4 linked regions of the Elephas maximus indicus genome follow. The protein of the gene in region 1 interacts with the protein of each later gene in a biochemical or structural test. Links are inferred from orthologs where the notes say so. Each region holds a gene or a part of one and is shown in the gene's direction. Other genes may lie near its edges.

What was found.
Region 2: the proteins of OIP5 (region 1) and MIS18BP1 form a complex in vitro, tested with the Homo sapiens proteins (2 studies listed by BioGRID). The link is inferred for Elephas maximus indicus from reciprocal best matches to the Homo sapiens genes OIP5 and MIS18BP1.
Region 3: the proteins of OIP5 (region 1) and MIS18A form a complex in vitro, tested with the Homo sapiens proteins (3 studies listed by BioGRID). The link is inferred for Elephas maximus indicus from reciprocal best matches to the Homo sapiens genes OIP5 and MIS18A.
Region 4: the proteins of OIP5 (region 1) and HJURP form a complex in vitro, tested with the Homo sapiens proteins (2 studies listed by BioGRID). The link is inferred for Elephas maximus indicus from reciprocal best matches to the Homo sapiens genes OIP5 and HJURP.

Annotation. Positions count from the first base shown.
Region 1 is NC_064828.1:14,707,752-14,715,562, forward strand, and holds the start of OIP5 (protein Mis18-beta), read left to right. Parts: upstream 1-4,808; 5' UTR 4,809-4,813; coding exon 4,814-5,138; intron 5,139-5,391; coding exon 5,392-5,458; intron 5,459-7,811. Other genes in the region: NUSAP1 (nucleolar and spindle-associated protein 1), read right to left, coding at 4,376-4,468. UniProt on the Homo sapiens protein: Required for recruitment of CENPA to centromeres and normal chromosome segregation during mitosis.
Region 2 is NC_064828.1:57,674,433-57,682,437, reverse strand, and holds the start of MIS18BP1 (mis18-binding protein 1), read left to right. Parts: upstream 1-4,983; 5' UTR 4,984-5,460; intron 5,461-8,005. UniProt on the Homo sapiens protein: Required for recruitment of CENPA to centromeres and normal chromosome segregation during mitosis.
Region 3 is NC_064836.1:29,347,943-29,354,947, forward strand, and holds the start of MIS18A (protein Mis18-alpha), read left to right. Parts: upstream 1-3,973; 5' UTR 3,974-4,002; coding exon 4,003-4,330; intron 4,331-6,930; coding exon 6,931-6,997; intron 6,998-7,005. UniProt on the Homo sapiens protein: Required for recruitment of CENPA to centromeres and normal chromosome segregation during mitosis.
Region 4 is NC_064824.1:136,096,034-136,102,892, reverse strand, and holds the start of HJURP (Holliday junction recognition protein), read left to right. Parts: upstream 1-3,823; 5' UTR 3,824-3,847; coding exon 3,848-3,943; intron 3,944-4,510; coding exon 4,511-4,577; intron 4,578-6,859. UniProt on the Homo sapiens protein: Centromeric protein that plays a central role in the incorporation and maintenance of histone H3-like variant CENPA at centromeres.

The DNA of each region.
Region 1 (7,811 bases):
TTAAACTAAGGAATTAAGGCTTTGCTCATGAATATGGGGCAGGGGTGAAGCATTAAATATTATAGCTCAGAAGTATTCCCAGGGACACTACTTTGTCACCCAACCCCAACAGGTACCAAACCTGGGCACTGATTATGTTGTTTAAACCATTTGAAAACACTTGTGATGGCTGATTTAGGCATTCATTCAGTGTAAATACCACAGCACGTAGTACAAATCTTGAGTATACCTTAGTATTTTGTGTGAAAACAGTTAGTATATATAAAACATGGATCCTCATATATTGAATCCCTATATTTTCCTCCAACATTTTGCCACCTCAAAATCGAAGGTATTACTGGTATTGAAACACCACCACCACAATAACCCATTGCAACTGAGTCGATTCCAACTCATAGCGACCCTACAGGACACAGCAGAGCTGCCCTATGGGGTTTCCAAGGAATGGCTGGTGGCTTCAAACTGCTGACCTTTGGTTAGCAGCTGAGCTCTTAACCACTGTGCCACAAGGGCTCCACCACCATAACAGTAATCAATAAAGGAACGATCACACTAGATCAGGGCTCAATTATAAAAATGTATCCATGGTGGGTACTTCCAAACAAGCCATTCTTTCTGCCAGGTCCCCAAACAAAGTATCAGACCTTAGAGGCACCTACTATACAGCCACAGTAGTCAAGACAGCCTTCTACTGGTATAACAGCAGACACATATGAAGCAGGCAGAGGGTTATTGACCATCCCATAATAGTTGTTTTTCAAAAAGTCTACTCTTGTTACATTTTTGTTGCAACTTTTACAATACCTCACCATGATTGGTTGATTCACCAGGTTTCCTCTCTTCTCCTGGCAGGAGGCTGAGGCAGAGAAGCACCAACTCCAAATTTATGGGCTATACAACCTTCCTGGGTGGCAGTAGCAAGCGGTCACCATTTTTTAGGGCTGTGCGCAAAAACTCATTTACAAAAATTATGCGGACTGTGTGTGCATTGCAGGACTGAAGATCCTCCCCTCACTGTCATGAATATGTATGTCACTCACTATATAAGAGCAAATCTGGCTTAGTTCAGGGAGCTGGCAGGCTTAGGTTGTGAGACCCTGCCTGCCTCTCAGTTTGCAAACTGTGAATAAACCTTTCTGTTCTTCCAACCCCAAGTCTGGCTGACTTCAATCTTCTAGTCTGCTGGCGAAGAACCAGCAAGTCGTCAGCTTCACATAGAGCAATGAACAGAATTGAGAACCCAGATGTAAATCCATCCACCTATAGACAGCTGATCTTTGACAAAGGACCGAAGGTTATTGAATGCGGAAGAGATAGTCCCTTCAACAAATGGTGCTGGCAAAATTGGATATCTATCTGTAGAAAAATGAAAAAGGATCCTTACCTCACAGCATACACAAAAACTAACTCAAAATGGATCAAAGATCTAAATATAAAACTATAAAGATCATGGAAGAAAAATACATGGCACAAACAGATTACCAAACATTATTAAAAGTACACACACAGAAGAAAATGAACTAGATAAATGGTACCACCTAGAAATTAAACATTTATATCATCAAAAGACTTCTCCAAAAGAGTAAAAAGACAACCTACAGATTGGAAAAAAACCTTTGGCTACGACAAATCCAACAAGGGTCTAATCTCTAAAATTTAGAGAAATCTTCAACACCTCAGCAAAAAAAGACAAATAATCCAGTTAAAAAATGGGCAAAGGATATGAATAGACACTTCACCAAAGAAGACATTTAGGTTGCTAACAAACATATGAAGAAATGCTCTTGATAATTAGCAATTAGAGAGATGCAAATCATAACTACAATGTGATACCATCTCACCCCAACATTACTGGCACTAATCAAATAATAAATATTGGCAAGGATGTGGAAAGACTGGAACACTTATATACTGCTGGTGGGACTATAAAATGGTACAACCGCTATGGAAAACGGTATGGAGCTTCCTCAAAAAGCTAGAAATAGAGACACTATATGATCCAGCAATCCCACTCCTAGGTATCTACCCTAGAGAAATAAGTGCCATGACATGAATAGACACACCCATGTTCATGTTCACTGCAGCATTATTCCCAATAGCAAAAGGTGGAAACAATCTTAAATGCCATAACGGATGAATGGATTAACAAACTGTGGTACATACACAATGCAATACTACGCAACCATAAAGAATAACGATAAATCCACAAAACATCTCACAACATGGATGAATCTGGAGGTCGTTAGGCTGAGCAAAATTAAAAAAAAAGGAAAAATAACCTGTTGTCATCGAGCGGATTTCAACTCATAGCAACCCTATAGGACAGAGCAGAACGGCTCCATAGGGTTTCCAAGAAGCAGCTGGTGGATTGAAATGCCGACCGTTTGGTCAGCAGCCAAGCTCTTAACCACTGCGTCACCAGAGTTCCTAAGTGAAATAAGTCAATCGCAAAAAGAAAAATATTGTGTGAGACTGCTTTTATAAAGTAACAAAAGCTTTACACACAGGAAGAAAAAAAAAACTCTTTGATGGTTAACAGGGATGGGAGGAAGAGGGAGGGAACATTCCCAAAGAGATAGTACCAAAAAAAAAAAACAAACCCATTGCCTTCAAGTCGATTCTGACTCATAGTGACCCTACAGGACAGAGGAGAGCTGCCCCATAGAGTTTCCAAGGAGCGCCTGGTGGATTCGAACTCCTGACCTTTTGGTCAGCAGGCACAACTCTTAACCACTACGCCACCAGTTAATAGGGGGGAAGGGAAAGGCAATACACAATATGGGAGAAGTCAGCACAACGTGACCAAGGCAAGAGAGGACACTGAGAGGAACACAGGAGTAACGAACAACTATGGTAACTACTACAGCATAAATAATCCTGTAACAATAGAATCAGCAAACAATAATCTATGGATGGATACACAAATAAGCCAAGAGGTGACAGATGGGCTAAGGGAGCACACCCACCCGCAGTGATAGGTTCGGTGGCAGAAATTTCAAATACCTGACTGGAAGTGCTCCTCATACGTTAATATAGACAATAGAGCACACAAGTGGCAGCGTCTGGGAAACATTTTAGGCATCACTAGACACCTCAATGGATGAAGTTCCCAGGCTCGAAGGCAAAGGACCATAGACTTGGAGTACATCTACATCAACTGACACAACGTAGTTCTTAAAGACAATGTTCTACATGCTATTTTGGTGAGTAGTGTCTGGGGTCTTAAAAGCTTGCGAGCAGCCATCTAAGATCCAACTACCAGTCTCTTCTGGTCTGGAACAAAGGAGAGTGGGAAAAAAGAAAAAAAAAAAAAAAAAAAACACTACAGTTTCAAGGGAGCAATTAGTCCAGAAGACTAATGATGCACGTGAACCACAGCTTACAAGGAACCCAAGACCAGAAGAACTAAATGGCGCTGGGCTACCACTACTGACTGCTCTGACTGGTATTACAACAGAGGGCCCTGGGCAGAGCTGGAGAAAAATGTAGAATGATCAAATTCACAAACAAGACCAGACTCACTGGTCTGACAGAGACTGGAGGAACCTGTGAGACTATGCCCCTGGAAACCCTTCTAACTCAGAATTGAAACCACTCCCCAAAGTTCATCTTTCGGCCAAAGACTAGGCAGGCCTATAAAAACAATAACACTCGTGAGGAACGTGCTTCTTGGATCAATCAAGTATATAAGATCAAATGGCCAACACCTGCCCAAAAACAAAGACATGAAGGCGGGAAGGGGCGAGAAAAGTGGGTGAATGGATCTAGGGAACCTAGAGTGTAAAGGGATAGGGTGCGAGCGCTGACACAATGCAGGATTGCAAACAATGCTAAGAAACAATTTGTGTAGAAATCGTTGAACGAGAAACTAATTTGCTCCGTAAACTTTCCACTAAAGTACAAGTAAAAAAAAAAAGAGAGATTATTAAAAAAAAAAAAAAGTACAAGTTAAAAAAAGAGAGAGATTATAGGCCTTTATTAAAATCTAGACTTGTTACTGGAGTTTTCCAGAAGCCAGGGCAATTATTTCGGCAATTTCGTAACAACTAACGAGCATCCTTTGGGCTTTCTCAGCCTGCGTTTCCAACCGATCTCTTAGGAAGCATCGTGTCCAATAAAACCACCCCAAACGGGCTTGGAGCAAAGGCCTATGTGAGCTCCAGGAAAGTCAGCCTCAAAATACGGTGCAAATTACGGCCTCTCTTCCGTTTCTCAGAGTTAGAGGAACCCCGGTGAGTCAAGTAGCCTGCCTATCGTCCCGGGCTGGGACGGCTGCCTCACCTCGCGAGTCGCGCTCAGTCGCTTCCCCGCGTCGGCCCGGGTAACCCCTCATCCGACCCCGCCTGCACAGCGGCCTGCGCCGCCAACAGCGTACCTTCAGGTTGGCCCGGAGGCCCAGGGTCTTGGCCAACTTCTGCAGGTCACTGTACTTGAAGGAGTCTAGCTCCTCCAGCGAGGGTACGGTCATCGCGATCTGCAGTCCGGGCGACCGCGCAGAGCTCGGTCGGCCGCTCTCAAAACGCCGTTCAAAACTCTGGCGCCACTCTAGGCGTTGACTGCGCAAAACTTTATACAGTTTAAATTAAGAACGCTGCACTTCCATTGGTTAGAAATGTCTCGTAGGCGGAGTTTCCTGACGCTAACCAATAGAAAGGCTGATTTCCTCCCTCTGAGGCACGTTATCCCGTCCCGGCGCGGAAGGGCGTGTGAAGGCGTGTCCGCCCACGGTACACGGCGTCCAATGAAGACGCTGGAATCTCGCTTGGGGCGGGGCCTGGTGCGTTTTCGAAACGGAGGCGCCAGCTGAAGGAAAATGGCGGCTCGGCCCCGGCGGCATCGGTTGCTCTACGCGAAGTTGCCGCGTGGGGACTTTTGTGATGGTGGCGCTAAGAAGGCTACTGACGAACATTCTTTAACGTCTTCCATGGAGTGGGACACGCAAGTGGTGAAAGGGTCCTCGCTGCTCGGCCCCGCGGGGCTGGGAGCGGAGGAGCCGGTAGCTGGCCCACGGCTGCCGTCGTGGCTGCAGCCGGAGAGATGCGCCGTGTTCCAGTGTGCGCAGTGCCACGCCGTGCTCGCCGACTCGGTGCACCTCGCCTGGGACCTGTCGCGGTCCCTCGGCACCGTGGTCTTCTCCAGTGAGTGGGGGCGTAATCCGGGGCAGGCGGAGGTGGGGCGTTCACACGCTTTCCACTGAGTGGCCTGGAGCCGGTTTGGGAATACGGGATGTCGATTTGGACGGGTATCGACTGACCCCTTTGCCAGCGGGGGAGTCTTTTTTTTTTTTTTTTTTCCGATAATATGGCCACAGTGAGGTTACCTGTGGGGGGAGAGATTTTCCTCTTCGAGGCCGGCAGAGGTACCGATTCTGACCAATGCTTGTCTTCCCAGGAGCCACAAACAACGTCGATGTGGAGGCGCCCTTATTGGTTGGCATTGAAGGTTCACTCAAAGGCAGGTAAGGGTGGGAATTGCCCTTTGGTGTCTAGTCCCTGACTTAATGAGACTGAGGAGCCTGGAACTGACACAGCTTGTTCCTGACTTGCGCTAGAAGAAAAGATTGTTTCATCTGTTCAATAATACAGTATGTCTGAAGGATGCTTCTTTTACTTGTATGACTCTTGTACGAACTTGATGTATCAATGAAAGGAAAAGTTATGTTTGTATGTGGCTTTTAAGATCTTTGAGGGCCACATCTCCCTAGTAGTATGTGCAAGTGAAGCTAGGCTAAGAAAGATAAATATCCATTATAGTTTGCACTTAACATGAAATTTGTAATAAGCTATGCAGGACTCGGAGCCTGGTGGCACAGCGGTTAAGAGCTTGGCTGATAACCAGAAGGTCCACAGTTTGAATCCATCAGCCACTCCTTAGCAACTGTGTGTGGCAGTTCTACTCTGTCCTATAGGGTTGCTATGATTCAGAACCCACTAGAGGGCACATAACAACAACACGGAGGACTAATTCTGTCTTTAACTAGGAAACTGGGGAAAAACACAAGTTGAATAGCATGTACTTAAGTACAAAAAAAAAACCCCAAAACCAGTTGCTTGCTGTCCAGTCCATTTGGACTCAGGACAACCCCGTGTGTTTCAGAGTAGAACTAAGCTCCATAGGGTTTTCATTGGTGTAATCTTAGGGAAGTAAATTGTCAGGCCTTTCTTCTGTGGTGCCACTGGATGGATTTGAATTGCCAACCTTTCAGTTAGCAGTTGAGCACAGTTTGCACTACCCAGGGACCTGACGTACCTGAATACTGCTTGGTAAACTTAGCGTCTTGGTTGTACTATGATTTACAAGTGACAATATCAGTGAATTTGATATTACAAGGGTCTTCAATTTTGAGTGTTGGCTTTAACGGCAAGTCAATTCATTCTAACCACAGTTTGGTTCAGTTTTAGGGTTAAAGTGTAGTAATTCTTAGTTGTTTTTCTCAGTGACCAGGAAGAGTTCTGCAGCCTGAACAAGCTTAGCAAATTGAGTTAGACCCATTGCTCATTTTCTTTTTACCGACTGAAAGATACTCACTCCCTGCACTGGCTCCTTCCCACCTCCAAGGGGATGAGAGGAAAGGAGTAGTGGCCCGCCTGGAATTGGGAGATTTGGGGCCAGAGGTAGAAGCTCTCTGAATTTCCTGTTAGGGAGGAGTATAGTATACCTAGACCTGCGCTGTCCAGCACTATAACCACTAGCCTAGCCACATGTGGCTACTGAGAACTTGAAATGTGGCCACTCGGAACTGAGGTACAAAATACACATCAGATTTTGAAAGCTTTGGTTAATAAAAAAAGAAAGAATGGAAGAGATCTCATTAAGTTTTTTTTTTTTTTAATATTGATTACATGTTGAAATGGTATTTTTGATATGTTGGGTTAAATAAAATATATTAAAATTAATTTCGCCTGTTTCTCTTTACTTTTTTTTTTTAACACAGCTAATAGAACATTTAAAATTACATATGTGGCTCACATTATATTCCTATTGGATAGTGTTGGTCTACATGGTTTGTGAAACACAGGAGGAAAATGCCATGTATTTCTCTATTTGTGGAATAAGAAGGGCCATGGGGGTTGTGGAGAGGGTTATGAAATAGCACAGCTTATGACACCTTGTATTCCTTATTTTAAGAATGCACATTCATTAACTAGACAAGGGTCTGAGAATGGATTAAGAGGATAATTCCTGATACAGCTGAAGGAGCATAAATTTTGGAATGAGAAGAACTGGATTCTACTTCCAACTTCTTAATAAGACATTTGAAGGAAGTCAGTCCCTCTCAATCTACTATGTTGGATTAATTCTAAGCTGCAGTTTTTTTTTTTTTACATTTAAATGCCCTAAAGTTGGCATGAGCTGTACAATTGATGGCATCTTAGAATCAAAGTCATAAGGTAGATAGATCCCAGGTTCCTTCTTATACCAACATTCTGTTATTCTGTGTCTGGTGGAGGATTTATTGTAACTAATTTCAAAAAGTAATATTAGAGTGGGTTGACACTTTTAAATAGCTTTGTTACTCAGAGCCTTTGTTATGTGTAACACAGTATTTACTTGAATGGAATTTTATTATGTTGATTATAAGTAAAGTACATTCTTTTTTAATTGTTACGGAGAGTTTCAAACACGTAAGAGTACAATGGACCTCTATGCACCCATCACTCAATTAGGACAGTTATCAACTCCCAGCCAATCTTGTTTCATCTATAATCATATCCACTGCCCCTGTCTGTGATTTTGAAGCACATACCTGAAATCATATCATTCCATCCATAAATATTTTAGTGAGAATCTCTATAAGATAGGAACTATTT
Region 2 (8,005 bases), about 43 Mb from region 1:
CATTGTAGACACTATTTCATAACCAAGGTTCATCCTTTAAGGGTTCATAAGATTTCAAGAAGCCATAAGTCACCCCAAAATCATATATAAAAATTTGCTTGAATCTCTATATACATTTTTTCAGGATAGGAGATTCCTTTTCATTAGATTACCCAAAGACTCATCAAATGGAAAAAAGTTAACATCCACTGGATCAGAAGCTCCCAGTTAATACATGGTGGCCTGAATATTCCTATTGATCCTCCCTCCTTTCCTCCTTACTGTCGTTAACATGACAGTTAAAAGGGGGCATTTGGTCCACACAGACAAAAAGAACAGGAAATGATAGCTGATCACAGGTGCCAACAGAATTCTGGAAGCCAAAAAACACATGGATGAGTAAAAACTGAACTAATAGATTAGAGATATAAGAGGCCTAAGCCTGCAGGGGCAAGGAAGCCAAGGAGAAATAAGCTGATTGGCATTGCAAATCCCAGAAAGTTTCAGGAATTAAGGGTTCTGAGCCCATTTAAAGGCAAAAGTGTAGAGTTGGGCTGAATACAGGAGAAAGGCTTGAAAGGCTGTATTAAAAAAATAAGTTTCCCAGACTTTTTTTCCCAGCCCAAGACTTGGAGGCACCTCTTACAGCTGAGAGATGAGGTGCCATCTGATAATAAGCAATTAATTAAAAGTCTTCATACCCAAAGGTGACACCCCTAGCCCTCCTGCCCTGCTTAGCTAACAGAGCTGTAGAAGATACATATACCCTGTGCTAATTGTTCTCTGCTTGCCTCTTCACATTTGTTACCAGTTCTCTCCCTTGCCCTGGGAGGAGGACATCTGCAGACTGTAATCACCCAAAGCTATCTTAGCCTTTTCCAATTAGAGGCACTAGCAGAATATCAGAGGGTGGAAGAAGAGAAACATTGTGCTGTTTCTTCTACTTCTTCCCTGCTCCCTGCCATTTTTTTTTTTTTTTAGCAAGTTCCAGGAATGCTGTTCCTTTCCCCTGCCACTTTAGGCCAAGAGGAGGTAAGGACTTCCAGCTGTTTTTAGTCCTTGGTTATTTCACCTCTCCTGTTTGTAAACAGTCCCTTCATTAAACACCCTTCAAGGAACCCTTATGTTACTCTCTTCAATTACCCACTGAGTGATCCATCTGTTTCTTACAGACCCAGACAGATATACATCCTCTCTTGGACCTGAACAAGCCCAAGAAAAAGACCTACAGATGTTTGTTTCTAAACAAAAGAGAATAGCATGAACAAATGCCCAGAGGTATGAAACAGCTAATTGTGTTCCAGTAACCTTAAGTGTTACTAGGTGCTATGTGTGAGATGAGGAGTGATGGGAGATAAGCCCAGAAGCAGACAAATGTCAATTCACAGAATATCTTGTGAGCCAAATCAAGGAGCTTGGACTTTACCTTGTAGGCTCCACAGAGTCACTGAAGGATTTTGAGTTTCAAATTAATCACACTGGAGGCAGTATGAAGGAAAACAATGAGATGAAGTAAAGATGAAAGACAGGAGAGAGACGAACAACTGCAATAGTTCCAATAAGAGAAATTGAAGGCCATAATTCAGATAGCGGCAGAGCAATAGAGGGACTAAACAGGAAATTAGTGGTTATTTGGACGTGGGAAACACAGTAGGGGAATGAAAGGAAGAGGATGGCCCCTCAGGCCTCTGATTTAGCAGTTGGATGAACAGCCTTTCACTGAGATGAAGAGTGTGGAGGAGGAGTGAGTTTTGAGAGTAGGAATTCATTGGCGGAGGAAGACAGAACGATGGAAAGTTGTATTCTGAACAAGTTGAGTTTAAAGTATCCCTGGGATGTCCACATGAAATTGGCCCCAAGGCACAGGGGAAGAGCTTTCTGTCAATTCGCTGAACTCAGTCAGTGTGGAGGACTTTGAACTCTGAGTTTTCCTCTCTCTTCAACGAGAGGGGGGGTGGGGGTGTGAGGGACTCCAGATCCAGATCCAGAGAAAAAAGGCAGAGCAAAACTGACTTTGACCTTAAGATGGCAGCAGGCAGTAGGTACCCAAACCCAAACCAAATCCATTGTCATGGAGTCGATTCCCACTCATAACAACACTACAGGACAAAGTAGAACTGCCCCATAGGGTTTCCAAGGCTGGGATCTTTATGGAAGCAGACTGTAACATCTTTCTCCCATGGAGCAGCTGGTAGGTTCAAACTGCCAACCTTCAGTTAGCAGTTGAACATGTTAACCGCTGCACCACCAGTGCTCCTAGGCAGCAGGTAAAACCAGAATAAAATGTTCCCAGTGCAGGCACCCATTTAACCACAAGACACACTAGAGAGCTTACCTTCAGGAGCGCTGGGTCCTAATCAGCACCTACTCAGCATTGTAAAATCACCACTTACGGTGTTGTGGATTTTGTTTGCTACTAAGGAAGGGACTTTCTCCAGTGAACAGGGATGAAAACAGACATTTGGAAAAGTCTACAACAGAGTATCTAAGCTCCAGTATGCTCTAAGAGCTGGGAAGATGGTGTGTGATGAGCAGGGACTCCAGAGTCATACAGGTGCCTATTTAAACTGGACATCAGGAGCTATGGGATGGCGGATGTGAGTTCAGTATGAACCATGAGGTATGAAAGGTGACCCAGAAGTTACGTTAATTGGCACAAAACAGTGAGAAACAAGAACAAAGACACTAACAGAGCTGTGTATCACCAGGTAGGACTACAGGTTTCACCACAATTGATTCTTGAAGAGGTCCAGGTACTGCCAGGCCAAATACTAGATTACACGTGGGCAATTTGCCCTGCTGGCCCTTAAATACCACTGTAAACACAGCAGTGGGGTCACTCACTGTAGAACTAGACCAGTTAGCAAGAAAAAAGCCAAATCAATGTGATTGTGTCTTTGCATGTTGACTCCATCTCTGAATAGTCCCCCTCTCACAAAGCCCAGATAACCTCCCTGTTGACTCCCTCCTCATCCTCCTCTAGGCCTGGACATGGCAGTAGTGGTTATGCAGTTATACAATACATAAGGGCACTCAGCTGCAGGAGAGGGGATTGAAATCGTGTTTTAGGGCTACCTCTGCCAAGAGTAGGATTTCCCAATCTTGGCACTACTGATATTTTAGGCTAGATAATTCTTCATAGTGGAGGGGCTGTCTTGCGAATTGAGGGATGTTTAGTAGCATCCCCAGCTTCTACCTACTACATGCCAGTAGCACCTCTGCAGTTGTGACAATCATGTTTCCAGACATGTTTCCAAAATTGCCCCTGGTTGAGAATCATTGGCCTTGAAGGCCATCTTTTTCTAATTTACAAAAAAAAATGCCATATAGGCAAGTAGTAGCACTGTTAGAACTCACCATGGTCCTGGGAATATTCCTCCAGGCTAAGCAGTTCTAGATGCTTTGGCAGTTCTTCCCAGAGTGACACTTCCAGTCCCTATCTCCTATGTCTGTCCTCTGGACCCTAAATGGATCTGTATGTGTCCCCATGAGTTACAGCCCTAGGACTGGGCAGAGTATTTCAGGTGAGTGACTGTGGAGTAGGAGAAGCTCTCCTCTCCAGACAGAAACTTTTAAAAGTACCCACCCAAGGCAGCATGTCGACCTTCTAAAGGGCGGATGAATATTTGCACCTTGGCTTCTTTGCCTTCCCATCACTCTTCATTATTCACAAACTGTTTCATCCAGTTTTGCTTGGAAATTCCTTATGTAAATCCCTGTGGCTGTTCACATGCTATATACTAGTTACTTTTCACAGAAGTGGTTAGTTAAAAAAAATATATGAAGTCTGTAATTCTGAGAGTCTGCCCTTAAGATTTCAGGAATTTTTATTTTGTCTGAATGTGTAAGCCATGGCTATCTCCATCATCAGCATAGAAACCTTTCATAACTCCATTGCATATGACGAATACATATCTCTTCAAGGTCGCTCTAGTCCACAAAGTTTATTTCATACCTGCCACTTAACATATATTTTTAAGACTTATCTTTCCTAGAAATTTGGTGCAAATCCCTGTCCAGTCATTTTCCTGTTATCCTGCAGAGGCAGAAACTTCACTTTACCCATGTAGATTTGCTTCACTCCCCCAATTCCCAAACGGTTTCTTTTCCTCACTTGCATTCATTTACACGCTTTACATTTGCATTTTGGATTCTGAATATTCTATGCATAAAATGTAGCAGATACAGGCTTCAGAAGTGCAAAATGTCACTTTAAAAAATTAACCCATTACAAACTTTTGAGTCCAGTACGATAACAATCATAATGAGGAAATGCAATATGACTCTAAAAAGCTGAGGAATTTTCTTTGCAATAAAAAGGATTTATGTCCCAAATGCTGATTTGAGAGGGGAGTTCGTGGGGAGGAGACGCGGGACTGGAGCTGGGTAGAGTTTACGGCTGAAAATATTTGCCACTGCCCTGGCTCGCCCTTCTCCATCCCCCAAGACTCAAGCAAGGCGCCCTACACAGCGCTTCCAGCCAGCGACTGCGTCTTCCCGGGGCGCTGCAGCGAAGGACACACTCTGTCCTCCGTGGTGGTTGGAGCAGAGCATCACTGGGTGCGGCCTAAGGCAAGGTGGAGTCTGAGGGCCACTGTCGCAAAGTGCTTCGCAGTGTAGAGCTGTCGAGATATTGTTTCTAGAATTCGAGATGATCAGCTTCAAAAAACATCACCCTGCCTGCGGTAATAGCTAAAACTAAACATCCCACTGGAAGTGTCACTTTGCATTCAGTCCCTTATCCCTTCAAGAACAGAACGCTCATTCTCGACCTCAAATAATTCGTGGACTGAGACAACAAACGTTTCCTCAAATGTGTTTAACAAGATGTTTCCTCAAAGGTGGAAGGAACGTCTGCTAAACAGCACTGACGAGAACACGGAATATGGGAGGACCGGCGGACAAGTTCCCGCAGAACCGGTTCCCACAGGCTAAAGAAGACAGTAGCTGGGAGGGGCCAAACTTCATTAGTGCCAGAGCGTGCAGGCGACGTCTGACGACCGCCCTCCTACCGCAGGGCACGACGGGAGGAGTGGTGGAACGCAGACAGGCTCGCGGCGTGGCGCCCTCTGGAGACCAAACGAACCCTGCGGATGACTAGAGGGGCGCGCCCCTGGCCTGCGGCAACTTGGGGGTCTCCTACTTCTTTGTGGAAACAGCATTACCCTCGCGCCGCTCCCGCCGCCCCTAGTTTTCTCGCGTCCCTGAGAGGCGCACGGTGACGTAGTTCCTGTGTGCGCCAATCCGGGGCTGGCCGGAGGGCGGGCTCTTCGAATTTGAATTCCCAAACTGTTGTAGATGTCAGGGATCCTCAAGAGGAGGTGAACGTCGCCTGGGCCAGGGCCGCGGCAGACCGAGGCCGACGTGGGCCTGAGGCGCGAGTCCTGGGGCGCCTGACCACCTCCGCGCGGTGCCCTGACCACCTCCGCGCGGTGCCGAGCTGGGACTGCCACCGTCCGCCCTGCCAAGCCCTCCACCAAGGTACGGCCTCTTCGGCGCCTCTAGCCTTTTGCCGGCGTTGCAGGTGCAGCGGCTAGGCCCACGCGGGCCTTAGTAGATTCTGGCTTTGGCAGTGCTTTCGCGCTGCTCATTCATTCAGTGTTTATTTGTTGCGTGTCTACGCAGTTGTCAGAACACTCGGTCAGATTCGTTTCCGCTCAGATTCATTTCCATGTTAAGCCCTCTAGACCTTTGTTCTAAAATCACTCACAGGAAAAAAAAAAGAAAAAGAAAATGAGGTTAGAATGATTGTCGTTAAGAGCCTTCCAGTCAGCTCCTACTCATAGCGACTTCATGTATAACAGAAAGAAATATTGCCTGGGCCTGCACTATCTTCACAATTGTTGCTGTGTTAGAGCCCATGGTTGCAGCCACTGTGTCAATCCATCTCATTGAGGGTCTCCCTCTTTTTTGCCGACCCTCTGCTTTACCAAACATGATGTCTTTCCCCAGCTCTTGGTCCCTCCTGATGACATGTTCAAAGTAAGCAAGACTAGCTTCTAAGGAGCATTCTGGCTGTACACTCTCCAAGATAGGTTTATTTGTTCTCTTGGCAGTCCTTGGTATATTCAGTATTCTTTGCAGACACCACAATTTGGATGCGTTCATTTTTCTTCGTTCTTCCTTTTTCATCGTCCAGCCTTCGGAACACTGTTCTTTCTCAACTTGAGGGACACCAATTATCTGCATATTTCATCAGAGATTGAGCATTATTGATTTAGGGGTTTTTTTTTGTTTGTTTTTGTTCTGCTTTTCTGTTAACTAGGAAAGAAATAGGGCTTCAGGTCTTTCTTGGGTCGCCTATACTCAATGGTTTATTTGTTTTTCTTTTATTATTCTGCAAAGTTTCTATCGTCAGAAAAAAATCCTACGTGATTGTTTTAACACTCTGTCTACCACCAACCACACTGAAACCACTAAAAAATATTGGCAGATCTTTGGGCTTCTGTTGAGTTGCTGTTTATCACGTAGTGGTAGAGAAGGACTCCAAGAGAAACTTTGTGTCTTTTTGGGAGGGGGAGTAGAATCTGAGGGTTTTTAAGAATCTTGACTATTCGGCTTCTCCGTCTTATTACTTGCTTGAATGGGGGGGTGGGGGTGGGGGTGGGGGTGGTGGGAAATATGAAAGGGAGGAGCTGTGTCTTGGAGCCTTTCAATGTGACCATAATTATCTGCCTTTAGATGAAAACAGTTCTGTAACGACGGCACCGGGTTGTGGGATGTCTAGTACAGATTGGGTCTGCTTTCAGTGCTACTAGTGTATTTGCAGTTATCGTTTGCTTTTTTAGCATTTCATTAGGCTCTAAGGAATTGTGATTGTATAAGTGGTTCAGTGGTAGAATTTTCACCTTTCATGCAGAGACCCACGTTCAGTTCCCAGCCAATGCACCTCATGTGTAGCCACCACCTCTCTGTCAGTGAAGGCTTGCATGTTATGTTGCTGAAAAGGCTTCAAAGCTTCCAGACTAAGACTAGGAAGAAAGGCCTGTGACCTACTTCCAAAAATAAGGTGGAGAAAACCCTCTGAATCAAAATGGTCCTATCTGCAATCACTGGGATGGCACAGGACCTGGCAGCCTTTAGTTCCATTGTGCATGGGGTCTCCCTGAGTCGGGCAACGCAACAACAGCTGGCAGCTACAAACCTGCACACATTTTGCAATTTTTCCTGGTAACTGTCCAGCTTATTAATTTTTTTTTCTTTTGTGAGAGTACAGTTTTAGGGGATATAGTTAAAACTAAACTGTTAGTATTATAGCTCCCAGCACAGGACTCCTAGCACCTAGCATATTGCCTAACACATAAATATATCTGTTAATACATATTTACCAAATTATGTTCTGTGAAAGAACTACACTGGTGTTTGTGTTCAGGACAAGACTCCCAAGATAAACTTTGTCAGCTCTTATTATTGAGGAATTTTTTTTGTTTCTTTACTTTTCTTACTTAGCCACTGTCCCACCAGGGATCCTAGTATATTCTAAATTACTGAATAAAATATAAATTTGTATGTGAATTTTTAACTCACATATATGTATTTCACAGAAGTTATTGTAGATATAGACATTGGATGTCTTTTGGTCTGATTGCATTAGTATTTTCTGTGATTGGCTTTTTATGTTTATATGATGTCCTAAACTGATTGGAATAATTATAAATTCAGCAGTAAGAGATGCTATAAACCTAGTGTCTTAGTTATGTAGTGCTGCAATGACAGACCACAAGCAGGTGGTTTTAACAAATTTATTTTCTCACAGTTTAGGAGGCCAAAATTCTGAATTCAGAGTGCCAGATCTAGGGGAAGGCTTTCTCTGTCAGACATGGAGGGAGGTCCTTGTTTCTTTGGGCTTCTGCTTCTGGGCGATTTTCATGTGATTAACATGTGCCTTCCCCATCTCTGCTTTTTGCTCTTGCTTGTTTGTTGTTGTTGCTATTGTTAGTTGCCGTCGAGTGGGTTCTGACTCATAGCCACCCTGTGTACAACAGAACAAAACACTGCCTGGTCCTGTGCCAACCTCACAATCATT
Region 3 (7,005 bases), on another chromosome or scaffold:
CCAGCAATCCCACTCCTAGAGAAATAAGAGCCTTTACATGAACAGATATACACACACCCATGTTTACTGCAGCACTGTTTACAAAAGCAAAAAAATGGAAGCAACCAAGGTGCCCATCAACGGATGAATGGATAAATTACGGTATATTCACACAATGGAATTCTGCGCATCAATAAAGAACAGTGAGGAATCTGTGAAACATTTCATAACATGGAGGAACCTGGAAGGCATTATGCTGAGTCAAATTAGTCAGTTGCAAAAGGACAAATATTGTATAAGACCATTATTATAAGAACTTGAGAAACAGTTTAAACTGAGAAGAAAACATTCTTTTGTGGTTAAGAGAGGAGGGAGGGAGGGAGGGTGGGACAGGGGTATTCACTAATTAGATGGTAGATAAGAACTACTTTAGGTGAAGGGAAAGACAGCACACAATACAGGGGAGGGCAGCACAACTGGACTAAACCAAAAGCAAAGAAGTTTCCTGAATAAACTGAATGCTTCGAAGGCCAGTGTAGCAGGGGCAGGGGTCTGGGGACCATGATTTCAGGGGACATCTAAGTCAATTGGCACAATAAAATCTATTAAGGAAACATTCTGCGTCCCCCTTTGAAGAGTGGCATCTGGAGTCTTAAACGCTAGCAAGCAGCCATCTAAGATGCATCAATTGGTCTCAACCCACCTGGATCAAAGAAGAATGAAGAACACTAAGGACACAAGGTAATTATGAGCCTAAGAAACAGAAAGGGCCCCATGAACCAGAGACTACATCAGCCTGAGACCAGAAGAACTAGATGGTGTCCAGCTACAACTGATGACTGCCCTGACAGGGAACACAACAGAGAACCCCTGAGGCAGCAGGAGAGCAGTGGGATGCAGTCCCCAAATTCTCATAAGACCAGACTTAATGGTCTGACTGAGACTGGAAGGACCCCGGTGGTCATGGCCCCCAGACCTTCTGCTGGCCCAGGACAGGAACCATTCCTGAAGCCAACTCTTCAGACATGGATTGGACTGGACAACGGGTTGGAGAGGGATGCTGGTGAGGAGTTAGCTTCTTGGATCAGGTGGACACTTGAGGCTATGTCCGCATCTCCTGCCTGGAGGGGAGATGAGAGGGTAGAGGGGGTTAGAAGATGGCGAAATGGACACGAAAAGAGAGAGTGCAGGGAGAGCGGGCTGTCTCATTAGGGGGAGAGTAATTGGGAGTATGTAGCAAGGTGTATATAAGTTTTTATGTGAGAGACCGATTTGATTTGAAAACTTTCACTTACTGAAAGCACAATAAAAATTGTAAAAAAAAAAAACACAAAAAAACAAAAAAACCCACTGAGGATTCCTGCTTGCTGTCCAAAGTCTGAGCCGATGTAGATCCTTGTGGTTGTTCGCGGCTGTCAAATTGGCTCTGATTTATGATGACCCCATGTGTGTCAGAGCTGAACTGCTGATATTTTGGAAATAGATTACTAGGCTTTTCTTTTTTGTCTTAGTCTGGAAGCTCCACTGAAACCTGTGCACCATGGGTGACCCTGCTGGTATCTGAAATACCAGTGCCATAGCGTCCAGCATCATGGCAACATGCAAGCCATCACAGTATGACCAACTGACAGACGGGTGGTGGGTAGATCCGTAGCAGTGCTTTCTTCCCAGTTATGCTGCCAGGTGGTCTGCGATGCAGCCAGACCCCTTCCCCTCAGTCTTCCCACCACACCAGTGGTGCTTTAAATCAGAGGCTGGTTGAAGGAAGTCTGTGCTGACGATCCTGAGTGAATGCTCGCCTCTTGCGAGGGGCTGAGGGCTACCTGATGTAGACAGCAGAGGCACTGCCAAACTTTCCAGTAACACTGCTACTGCCCGCACCAGTGTCTGCAACTTCTTAATTTTTTTTATTGTGGTAAACATACATATATATGTTTTTCCAATTCAACAATTTTTACATGTAAAATTCAGTGACACTGATTGCGTTCATCATGTCTTGCCACTACTGATAGCTGCCAATCTCACCTTCCGTGAAGGAGACCTGGTGCAGGATGCCCAGGCAGTGTACCCCATGTGCAGCACCACCCATCTGTCAGTGCGGGCTTGCATGTTGCTATGATGCTGAACAGGTTTCAGTGGAGCTTCCAGACCACGATGGACTAGGAAGAAAGGACTGGCCATGTACTTCTGAGAATCAGCCAGTGAAAACCCTATGGATCACAGCAGTCGGTGGGGATGGAGCCGGACTGGGCAGCATTCTTCTCGGTCGAGATTGCCATGGGTTGGGGGTGACTCCAAGGCAGCTAACAAGAAGACCAAGGATTGTGAAGGTCTGGGTGAGTGAATGGTAATTTACTCTGAGGTCTGTGCACTTTTTCAAGGATGACATCCCCTAACACTCCCCCAAGAAGACCAAGGATTGTGAAGGTCTGGGTGAGCGAATGGTAATTTACTCTGAGGTCTGTGCCCTTTTTCAAGGATGACATCCCCTAACACTCCCCCAAGAAGACCAAGGATTGTGAAGGTCTGGGTGAGCGAATGGTAATTTACTCTGAGGTCTGTGCCCTTTTTCAAGGATGACATCCCCTAACACTTCCCCAAGAAGACCAAGGATTGTGAAGGTCTGGGTGAGGGAATGGTAATTTACTCTGAGGTCTGTGCCCTTTTTCAAGGATGACATCCTCTAACACTCCCCCAAGAAGACCAAGGATTGTGAAGGTCTGGGTGAGCGAATGGTAATTTACTCTGAGGTCTGTGCCCTTTTTCAAGGATGACATCCCCTAACACTCCCCCAAGAAGACCAAGGATTGTGAAGGTCTGGGTGAGCGAATGGTAATTTACTCTGAGGTCTGTGCCCTTTTTCAAGGATGACATCCCCTAACACTCCCCCAAGAAGACCAAGGATTGTGAAGGTCTGGGTGAGCGAATGGTAATTTACTCTGAGGTCTGTGCCCTTTTTCAAGGATGACATCCCCTAACACTTCCCCAAGAAGACCAAGGATTGTGAAGGTCTGGGTGAGGGAATGGTAATTTACTCTGAGGTCTGTGCCCTTTTTCAAGGATGACATCCCCTAACACTCCCCCAAGAAGACCAAGGATTGTGAAGGTCTGGGTGAGCGAATGGTAATTTACTCTGAGGTCTGTGCCCCTTTTCAAGGATGACATCCCCTAACACTCCCCCAAGAAGCTGAACACCCTTCTCAGTGCACACCAGCATTCCAGCAACTCTCCTCCTTTTTTTTTTTTAATTGTGCTTAAGGTCAAATTTACAAAGCAAATTAGTTCCCCCGTTCACTAGTTTGTACATAAAGTGTTACATGACTTTGGTGGTATTCCCCACAGTGAGTCAGCACTACCCCCGTTTCCATTCCGAGTTCCCCCTTTCCTTTCGTCCTGATTTATCTCGTGTAAAAAAAAAAAAAAAATTTTTTTTTTTAATTGTTCTAAGGACCACCTTCTCTCGGGAGTTACTGTTTATTTCACGGCCCTGTCTATGGTTTGGCTGAAAGGTGGCCTCTGGAAATGTGGCTGCAGTTCCACTTCAGAAGGGTGTCTTAGGGCCACAGTCTCGGGGGTTTCTCCAGGCTCTGTCAGACCCCGTAATTTGTTTTTTAACCCAAACCAAGCCTAACCCACTGCCAAGTGGATTCCAACCCATAGAGAACAAAACTTCCTCATAAGGTCTCCGAGGCTGTAATCTTCAGGAAGCAGACTGCCGCATCTCTCCGCCCCTGTAGCAACTGGTGTGTTCCACCACCAAACTTCCGGTTCGCTGCCGAGCGCTTCACCTACTGCACCACCAGGGCTCCTGACTTCTTAAAAGGGGTGGAAAACCTGACGCAGGCGCAGTGATCGACAGCCGCGTCAAGCCGACAGTGAGCACGCGCACGAGCCCATTGCCCGCTGTCCCTCCTCCCTCAGACCCCGCCCCTCAAGGCTCGACCTGGGCCGCTGCGCCCCGCCCCGCGCATGCGCAGGGCCGTTTTTTCCCGTGGTGCTCTAGGGCGCGGGTAATTTGTAGTTATGGCGGGCGCTCCGTCGCTGCGTTCTTGCAAAAGATGCTCCTCTGTTAGCTGTGCGTGTGACCAGGGCAAGTGGAGCGACTCCTCTCTGCTGGGCAGGAGGCTCTCCGAAGACTCGAGCCGCCAACAGCTGCTGCAGCAGTGGGCGAGCATGTGCAGCTCCGGGAGCTGGAGCGCGCCGGCGGCCGGCGCCGAGGAGACGTGGCGTGGGGAGGCCGCGGAGGAGGAGCGGCCGCTGGTGTTCCTGTGCTCGGGCTGCCGCCGGCCGCTGGGCGACTCGCTGAGCTGGGTGACGAGCCAGGAGGACCCCGACTGCATCCTGCTCCGCTGTCAGTCCGGGCGGGCGGGGGGCTTGGGGCCGCCGACTTCCCAGGTGTGCAGTATCTGGGCGGCTCGGAGGGAGGGGGTTGCCTTGGGACCCACTGCCGTCAGTCCATTCCGACTCATAGCGACCCTATAGACAGAATAGAGCTGTCTTATGGGGTTTCCAAGGAGCGGCTGGTGGATTCGAAGTGCAGACCTTTTGGTTAGAAGCCGAGCTCTTAACCACTCCACCACCAGGGTTCCACTGCACCACCAGGGACTTAAAATGCAGAGAAAGTTGAGAGGGGGAGCTGTGCTACGAAAAGGGGAGGAAGAAGGTCACCTGCACCTTTGGCTCAAGAGTGAGGGGCGGGTCCTTTATCTTGAAGCCACCGCCCCGCCCCCCATTCGAGAAGAGCAGTGGTTGAATCAGCAGCATTGTGAGCATTACTCAAAACATTACAACTCGATTGTAAGCCAGGACGTGTTTGTTGTTGTTAGGTGTTGTGGAGTCAAGTTGTTTTTAACTTTTCTAGAACTGTATATAAATATCTTGATTTATCCGCTTTAGACAATTTGATTAAAACTTTCTCCTCCACTTGGACTTCAATTATTCTCACTTTGTCATTGTTCTAGTATTTACGTTCTGCTCTGTAGCCATAATTCCCATGGTCATTTAGCCTTAAGGTAACATTTAAGTGGATTTATTTCTCAACTCTAGTACTCTTATCAGGAGTCCTGGTGGCACAACGGTTAAGCACTCAGCTGCTCATTGAAAGGTTGGTGATTTGAGCCTGCCCAGTGACTCCGAGTGAGAAAGATCTGGCAATCTGCTCCTGAAAAGATTAAAAAAAAAAAACAAACAACCAAACCCATTACTGTGAAGTCGATTCTGATTCATAGTGACCCTATAGGACAGAATAGAACTGCCCCATAGGGTTTCTAAGGCTGTAATCTTTATGGAAGCAGACTGCCGCATCTTTCTCCCACCTGGCTGATGGGTTCAGACTGCCAACCTTTTGGTTAGTAGCTGAGCACTTAACCACTGTGCCACCTGGGCTCCTTTCAGAATTGACTCAATGGCACATAACAACAGTACCCTTAGAGCTTTCCCTTCCTGACTGGTTTATTTTGATTGTTCTTGTTAGCTGCTGTGGAGTTGACCCCGACTCATGGCAACCCACACACAAAGGGATCGGACTGTTGCGATCCGTGGGGTTTACACTGGCTGATTTTGGAAGTAGATTGCCAAGACTTTCTTCCTAGTCAGAGTCTGGAAGCTTTGCTGAAGTCTGTTTAGTAGCATAGCAACATACAAGCCTCTACTCATATAGGTGGTGGCTGTGCTTGAGGAGTACTGGTCGGGAATGGAACCTGGGTCTCCCTCACGGAAGGCGAGAATTCTATCCACTGAACCACCGTGTCCCTCTTTATTTTGATTAATCGTCCTCAGTAGTTCCCATCCCCAAGAAAACTCCAGGTTTGAGTGCTTGAAAATGTCTGTTGTCTTTATACATGAATGTCTCTTTGGCCACACGTACACTTCTTCGGTCATGCTTTGTGCTTCCTCCAGGCATGAGGGGAGCAGGTGGTGCAAAGGCCCTGGGGCTTGTGAGTAGAATACAGATAAGATTCAGGGAAGAAGGAAGGGGCCAGAAAATGGAGAGCCTCGTATGCTATCTGAGGAGACAAAATCTATTCCAGTGGTTGAGGAGATGGGAGTGATATGACCCACTCGTGGAAGTAGGGAGACAAGTCAGGAGCTGTTGTGGAAGTCCACGCAAGGGGTGGTGGCAGCTGTGTTGGGGATGGAGAAGAGCAGATACTTTGGAAAGGCGTTTGTGAGGTAGAATTCACAGCACTTGTCAGTGGAGTGGGTGTGGGGAGCAGGATGAGACAGAAGAATCAAGGATGGCATTAGGGTGTCTGGTGGTGGCATTCACCAGGCTAAAGTGGACTGTAGGAGGAGGTGAAATCAAGGGGCTGTTTTGTTAGGTCCGATATGACATGGTCTTTTCTTCATTTCCCTCCACCTGGACCCTCTGTTAGTGCATCCTGAAACTGAATCCTCCGGTAACGTTTCCTGCTCGGGTTCTGCTGCGGCCCTTGCCCAAGTCATGGTCCAAGTAAAAGATTTTTGGCTGGGTTGCTGGGGACCATCTAAATTACTGTTGGAGAAATGAGCTTTCTTTTGGAGATCTAGATATGTACGCGTTGGATTTTAGCATCTTCCTTGGTTTTAATCCCAATTTCACCAAACCTGGCAGTTATTCTTTGTAATTTATGATTGGAGGTTCTCATTTTTCCAGGTTTTACTATTTCCTGAATTTTTCTTCTTAAGCTTATTCATTTTGTTCATATCACTGGTTTTCAGGGAAGGAAGTAACTCTTATTCTGCTGTCTTTTTCCAGAAGACTCCTGTACATTTAGTTTTAAACCCATGTGTTTTGTGTGTGTGAGTGTGAGAGAGAGAGACAGAAAGGGTGAGAGGGAGATACTTTGGCCTCTTATTTTTTCTGGCCCTCTGAGTTTTCATATAAAACTCAGATTAGAGGTTCTCTAAATATCTGCATGTGTATTATAACAAACCCCATTAACAAATTATAGTTACTTTTCTTCTTTCCAGGTGTCTCCTGTAATGTTTCTGTGGACAAGGAACAGAAGCTATCCAAACGTAAAAATGAAAATGGCTGGTGAGTAA
Region 4 (6,859 bases), on another chromosome or scaffold:
CAGAGACTGATGATGACATTTCCACACCTTTCCATCACAATATCATTTACATGTCAACTCTATGCAGAATAAATTCCCATCGAGGTCAACAATTTGGATTCCACCAGGCGCTCCGTGGAAACCCTGTGGGGCCGTTCTGCTCTGTCCCATAGGAACTCTATGAGTTGGAATCAACTCGACGGCAATGAATTTGTTTGTTTGTTTTGAGCAAAATTCAGGCACATTTTATGAGAGTAGCTATAAAAAAAATCCGATGAAAATTATTTCCTGTCTACATAATTGTGAACAGATCTTTGAGGGTGAAAGTTCCAACAAGGCCAGCAGAGGGTGCTGTGCAAGGGATCCTGCATCTCTACTGCCTAAGGAAGCCTGTGAGCCCCCCAGGGGCTGCACCCAGCCACTTCCCATGCCACTTGCCCTGCCAAGGAAGGAGCTGAGTTGTAATGCTTCCCTGTTTCATGGAGATGGGGAGTGGTGAGGAAGCAGTTTTGTAGCAGTTCTGGGTTCCTGAGGTCACATGCTTAGGCTGTTACCGGTGGATGGAGGTTGTAGGAAAATGACCTCAAATTAGGAGCGTGATGCAGGGTTCCTCCCTCCTCAGCTGGGCTGCCACTTTGGCCAGGGGCTGGCCAGACAGAGACAATGCATGCTAAGGCTGGCTCAAGGGGGGACTGGCAAAGCAGAATTTTGGGGGTCTTTTTTTTTCTCAGTTAAAGATTTCGAAGCTGTCAACTAACAGGTTTTTGTCAAGCAGACTAGCGAATTGAAGTCAGCCAGACGCAGGGTTGTAAGAACAGAAAGGTGCCGGGGGCCAGCCTCAGCAATGAACAGGGTTACCAGAGGAGGGGTAGAGTTCGGCGAAAAAAAGAATGAGAGGTAGTGTGTCTTATATTTTCATTTCTGCAGAAAAAGAAGCCCTTCTGCTCTTTATTTTTTACATGGTCTTTTATATCATAAGCTTACAAAAGCATAACATCGCATGATCAATAAAGGGGCAGTACAAGATATAATCATAAACATCATTTCCCAGAGACATAATTTTCCAAGTGACACATAGTACAGTTCCGCATACACACACAAGTACAATGAATTTTTGTTTAATTGAAGAGAATATTTTGTTGATATATTTTTACACAAAGTAACAATTGACTTCATACTGCTTTACACTTTATGCTTAATCTTGCAATTCCTTCCACAGTTTTTATAATAATTAATCTTTTTGCAAAAACCATTGCCACATAGGCTTTGTCCATTTTGTCCAGGGTGGCCAAATTTTTGAAGTCCAGCCACTTTGGGTTACGTCATATTGTCCACGATTATGCCAAGGACAATTAGCCCAATCTCTATACCCAAAGACCAGTCAAGAGCAGCAGTGAGCGGGGTAGACGAGAAGGTTGACCTGTAATTGGCTGAGAAATTGGCTGAGAGAACTCACTGCCTTTTGTTTTTCCACTTTTATGGGGTCATGTGTGGGTGGTGGTTTAATCACAAAAGGGCCTTGGTAAATACCAGGATTTCACCATCCTATTCTTATTTTCCATAGTCGAGCTATTTGTTTTTCCCCTAAGACAACTTCATGTTGATCCCCAAGTAACACACGGGCTGTCCCTACCCGAGATTTCACCAGGGGATTATGAGTAGGACGCCCCCCGTCCAAAGGTCCCTAAATCTATAATGGAATTTTATGCTTATACATTCTGCTATACACAGGCTGAAAATGAAATAGAAACATAACACAGATGACAGAGATATTCCTGACTTTTCAGGAATTCTTCGATGTTTATGCTAGGGGCAGTGGGTGCAGAGGGGCCGCCCTTGCAGCCTGGCTCTTCCTGACTTTTCAGGAATTCTTCAATGTTTATGCTGGGGGCAGTGGGTGCAGAGGGGCTGCCCTTGCAGCCTGGCTCCTCCTGACTTTTCAGGGATTCTTTGATGTTTATGCTGGGGGCAGTGGGTGCAGAGGGGCTGCCCTTGCAGCCTGGCTCCTCCTGACTTTTCAGGGATTCTTTGATGTTTATGCTGGGGGCAGTGGGTGCAGAGGGGCCGCCCTTGCAGCCTGGCTCCCAGCAGAAAGGTTTACCCAGTTTGCAAACTGGGAGGCACGCAGGGTCTCTGACCTAAGGCTGCCAGCTCCCTGAATCAGGGCAGATTTGCTCCTTTTATGCGGAGTGGCGTTCATATGCATGAACAGTGAAGGGAGGATCTTCAGTCTTGTGATGCACGCACAGTCCGCAAAATTTTAGTGAATGGGTTTTTGAACATGGCTCTAAAAATACTGCCCACAGCCCTGAAAAAATGACAACGGCTCGCTCTTGCCACCCCAGGAAGGTCAGAAAGCGGGTAGGTTCAGAGTCAGTGTGCCTGTGCTTTGGTCTCCTGCCAGGATAAACAAGAAAATTGTAACAAAAACGGAGCAAGAGTAGACTTTTTTGAAAAACAACTATTATGGGATGGTTAATAACCTTTTCATGACGGCCTGCTTCAATTTTACCTTGAGAACTCTCTCTACCGAAGCAGCCCATGAGCCCGTGGAACAGAGGCAGATTCCTGGGATAGTCAGTGAAGCCAGCCAGGAATGCCCTGGAGCAGAAACCCCAGCAGTGTCCCAGGACCGGGGACCAAGTCCTAGGAGAGGCAAGTTTTGAAATGGGGTGCTATTACGTGGGTAGAGGGTCACAGAAGAGAAGGCTGTCCAAGGCTTAGAGGAGAAGCAAAAGAAAACCTTGCAACATTTTGTTCTGTTATCATAGGGTCGCCAGAGCCAAATCTACAGCACGTAACCCTGGTGGCATAGTGATTAAGAGCTACAGCCACTAACCAAAAGGTCACCAGTTCGAATCCACCAGGTGCTTCTTGGAAACCCTACGGGGCAGCTCTTCTCTGCCCTACAGGGTCGCTGTGAGTCGGATATGCTTATATAAGCATAGAGAAAGGTTGAACCAATCTTAATGAAATTACTAGCTCAGGTGGGAAACTAGAGGGGGGCTGTAATTTTTACTTTCTCTGTGTTGTTTTGGAAACCCTGGTGGCATAGTGGTTAAGAGCTATGGCTGCTAACCAAAAGGTCGATAGCTCGAATCCCCCAGACACTCCTTGGAAACTGGTGCAGTTCCTCTCTGTCCTGCAGGGTCGCTGTGAGTTGGAATTGACTTGATGCCAACAGGTGTGTGGTGCTGTGTTGTTTTAAATAATCTATGCTGAAGATGCGTTATCAGAAAAGAACCACCAAGACATTCCCATCTAAAAGAGAAAGACTGAAAAAGACTGCTCTGGTAGCAGAGAAAGGCACCAGAACCTGGATGTCAGAGAGGAGGCAGAACAGATTTATCACCAGGCTAGTCGTTGACAGAGCGGATTCCATCTCATGGCGACCCCATGTGGTAGAGTATAACTGCTCCATAGGGGTTTCTTGGTTCGTGACCTTTCTTTCACTGAGCCACTGAGTCAGCTCGAACCTCCAAACTTCAGATTAGCAGCCAACTGCAACTGCAGGCACCACCCGGGCTCTATGGGTTAATAATACATAGCTCAAAGAGCTGCCGTTGAATTGTTAATTAATAGGCGCAGAACGGCAGGAAGAGCTCCCCCGCGGCACTCCCCCGCCCGCACCCACCTCCGTGCCTTTCCTATAATCCCGCGCCACCGGATGGGGCGGGGCCGGGGACTCAGGGGCGGATTGGCCGGCAGGAAGTCGCGTGTATACGTTTGAAAGGCCCAATCAGCGCCCGCCTCACAGCACCAGCCAATAGGAAGCCAGAGAATGGCAGGAGGGCGGGAGCAGCGTATTTGAACGGCGGCGGGAGCGGCTCTCCGGGCGGCCCGGACTCGCGGCGGCAGCCTGTGCGCCATGGCGGCCGAGGGCTGCGAGGAGGCCGAGCTGACGCGGAAGCTCCAGGACAGCCGCCATCGCTTCCAGAGGCGCATGCAGCAGCTGATAGAGAAGGTACGGCCCTCAGCTCCGGCTGGAAGGGGTGGCCAGGCGCAAGGCTAGCGGGACTAGGGTGGGGGAGTCGGGGGCTGGGGTGCAGGGACCTGGGTGCAGGGAGGGCGCGGGGAGACGGGACCCGGCTATGCGAAGGGGGAAGGCAGGTCCGGGACCGGGTGCAGGGAGGGTGCGGAGAGGGGGGAGCCGGGCCGGGAACCGGGTGCAGGGAGGGTGCGGAGAGGGGGGAGCCAGGCCGGGAACCGGGTGCAGGGAGGGTGCGGAGAGGGGGGAGCCGGGCCGGGAACGGGGTGCGGGGAGGGTGCGGAGAGGGGGGACCCGGGCCGGGAACCGGGTGCGGGGAGGGTGCGGAGAGGGGGGAGCCAGGCCGGGAACCGGGTGCAGGGAGGGTGCTGAGAGGGGGGAGCCGGGCCGGGAACGGGGTGCGGGGAGGGTGCAGGGAGGCAGGGATGTGGACTGAGGGGATGTAGAAAAACCGCCCAGCTATTCAGTAACTGTGAACTAACTGGGGGTGGGCGGAGAGGTTGCCTGGAGGTCTGACCTAGTGGGACGCCCCGTCCCCTGCAGTACAACCATCCCTTCGAGGACACGGTGCTGGTGGAGATGGCCACACTGACCTACCAGACGCCCCAAGGTAGGAGTTAACTCTCATTTCGGTTTAAAATGTGAATAGCGTCTTGTAGAGTTTTGAAATCCTGGCCGTGCTTTTATGAAAATAAACCTTGTTCATCTGACTAGAAATGAATTCCTGAAGACATAGATGGTTAAGAATGCACCTGCCTGGGTTGGCATCACAGCTCACACTTATGCTCCTGTCATCGTGGGAGAGTTGCTTAGCGTGGCTGAGGCTCAGTTTCCTCATCTGTAAAATAGGTATTGTAACAGTTAGGGTCCTGGTGAAGCCCTTAGGACAGTACCTGTGCCCTCCAGCACTTACGTTGACTGTCATTTGTCTTGTTTGACTTTGAATATTAACTGTTCTCCTTGAGGTTCTGATAACTTGAAACTTAATCCCAGTATGGGAAAGGAGCCATTCTGTTTAGCGATGGTGTTGCAAACTGATCTAAGTCAGTGCATTGCCCGCTGCCCGTTGATTCTCTGCTGTGAATGAGGTCAGTTCCTCTCTTCTCACTACTCCTTACTACTAACTCACCACCAAAGATGTTGTCGTTAGGTGCCGTTGAGTCACTTCCGACTCATAGCGACCCTATGTACAACAGAACAAAACACTGCCCAGTCCTGCACCATCCTCGCAATCGTTACTATGTTTGAGCCCATTGCTTCAGCCACTGTGTCAACCCTACTTGAGGTTCCTCTTCTCTTTTGCTGACCCTCTACTTTACCAAGCATGATGTGCTTCTCCACGGACTGATTTCTTCCTGAATCCAAGCAAGCGAGACAAAGTCTCATCATCCTCACTTCCAAGGAGCTCTCTGGCTATACTTCTTCTGAGACAGACTTCTGGCGGTCCATGGTATATTCAGTATTCCTTGCCAACACCATAATTCAGAGGCGTCAATTCTTCTTCTGTTTTCCTTATTCATTGTCCAGCTTTCACATGCATATGAGGCGATTGAAAACACCATGGCTTGGGTCAGGTGCACCTTAGTCCTCAAGTGACATCGTTGCTTTTTAACACCTTAAAGAGGTCTTTTGCAGGAGATTTGCCCAATGCAAATCTTTCTTGACTGCTGCTTGCATGGGCATTGATAATAAAAGAAAGGTAATGATGATGAAAGCGGATCTCAGATCCTGCTGCACGTTAAACAAGCAGGCACAAAACGGTTCATAAGACCTGCTCCTTAAGCGAAGTCCTAACTCTGTGGCTTTTTAGCTGATCTGTCCACACCTCGCTTGCGTACGTACAGTGAACTCGGTGAGTGCTTGTCTCTGAAGATGTTAGGAGCGCCAAAGAGTGTGTGGAAGTGGGTTGCTGTGAACACTAAAAAAAGGAGTATACTTGGTGTGGGTCAAAGGACTAGAATTGGCCATTTGTCACTCGTTTCAGAAAACAGGGAGGCCCTGGTGACTCCCTGGTGGCACGCAGTGGTTAAGAGTGTGGCTGCTAACCAGAAGATCTAAGTTGAAATCCACCAGCTGTTCCTTGGAAACCCTATGAGGCAGTTCTGCTCTCTGGTGTAGCGTTGCTGTGAGTCGGAATCAACCGACAGCAGTGGGTTTTGGTTTTTCTGGTTTCAAAAAATAGCTGAAATTCTCAAGCAGTCAGGGCGCCCTTTTGTTTTCTAAAATAGACCAGCAACCCTGAAACATGTGCAACTGAGTAGGGACTACACATGCCACACGCCCCCACACTAAGCCACAGGAAGGAGGAGCATGGTACAGTCAGTCATGCATGATCATTGATTGGATTGAGGGTAACTATACACTAAGACACCTTCATGCGTATTCATTGAGGCCCCAATTACTAAGGGACCCTGAACATTGGAGATCCTCTCTGGGGGCATCCTGTAGTGGGGAGAACATCCACATTGGCATCTGAGTGTAGGGAGGGTGAGGGGAGGGGATGGCCCAATCAGCACCCCACCTCACAGCACCAGCCAGTAGAAAGCATGCTGTGCATGGCAAGGTTTGTGTGGCTCGTCCCAGACCTTGCCAGATGTATCTCTTACCAGGTGTCCTTTCTAATTATATGTGTAGGTAGAAGGAGCCCTGGTGGGACAGTGGTTAGGGCTTGGCTGCTAACCAAAAGAACCCACCAGCTACTCTACGGAAGAAAAATGTGGCAGTCTGCTTCCATAAAGATTTACAGCCTTGGAAACCCTGTGGGGCAGTTCTACTCTGTCCTGTAGGGTCACTGTGAGTTGGAAACAGCTCCACAGGTTTGGTTTTTCTCTTTAGTGTAGGTAGACTCCATGAGTTCTGTGAGTTATTCTAGTGAATGACAGAACCCACCAG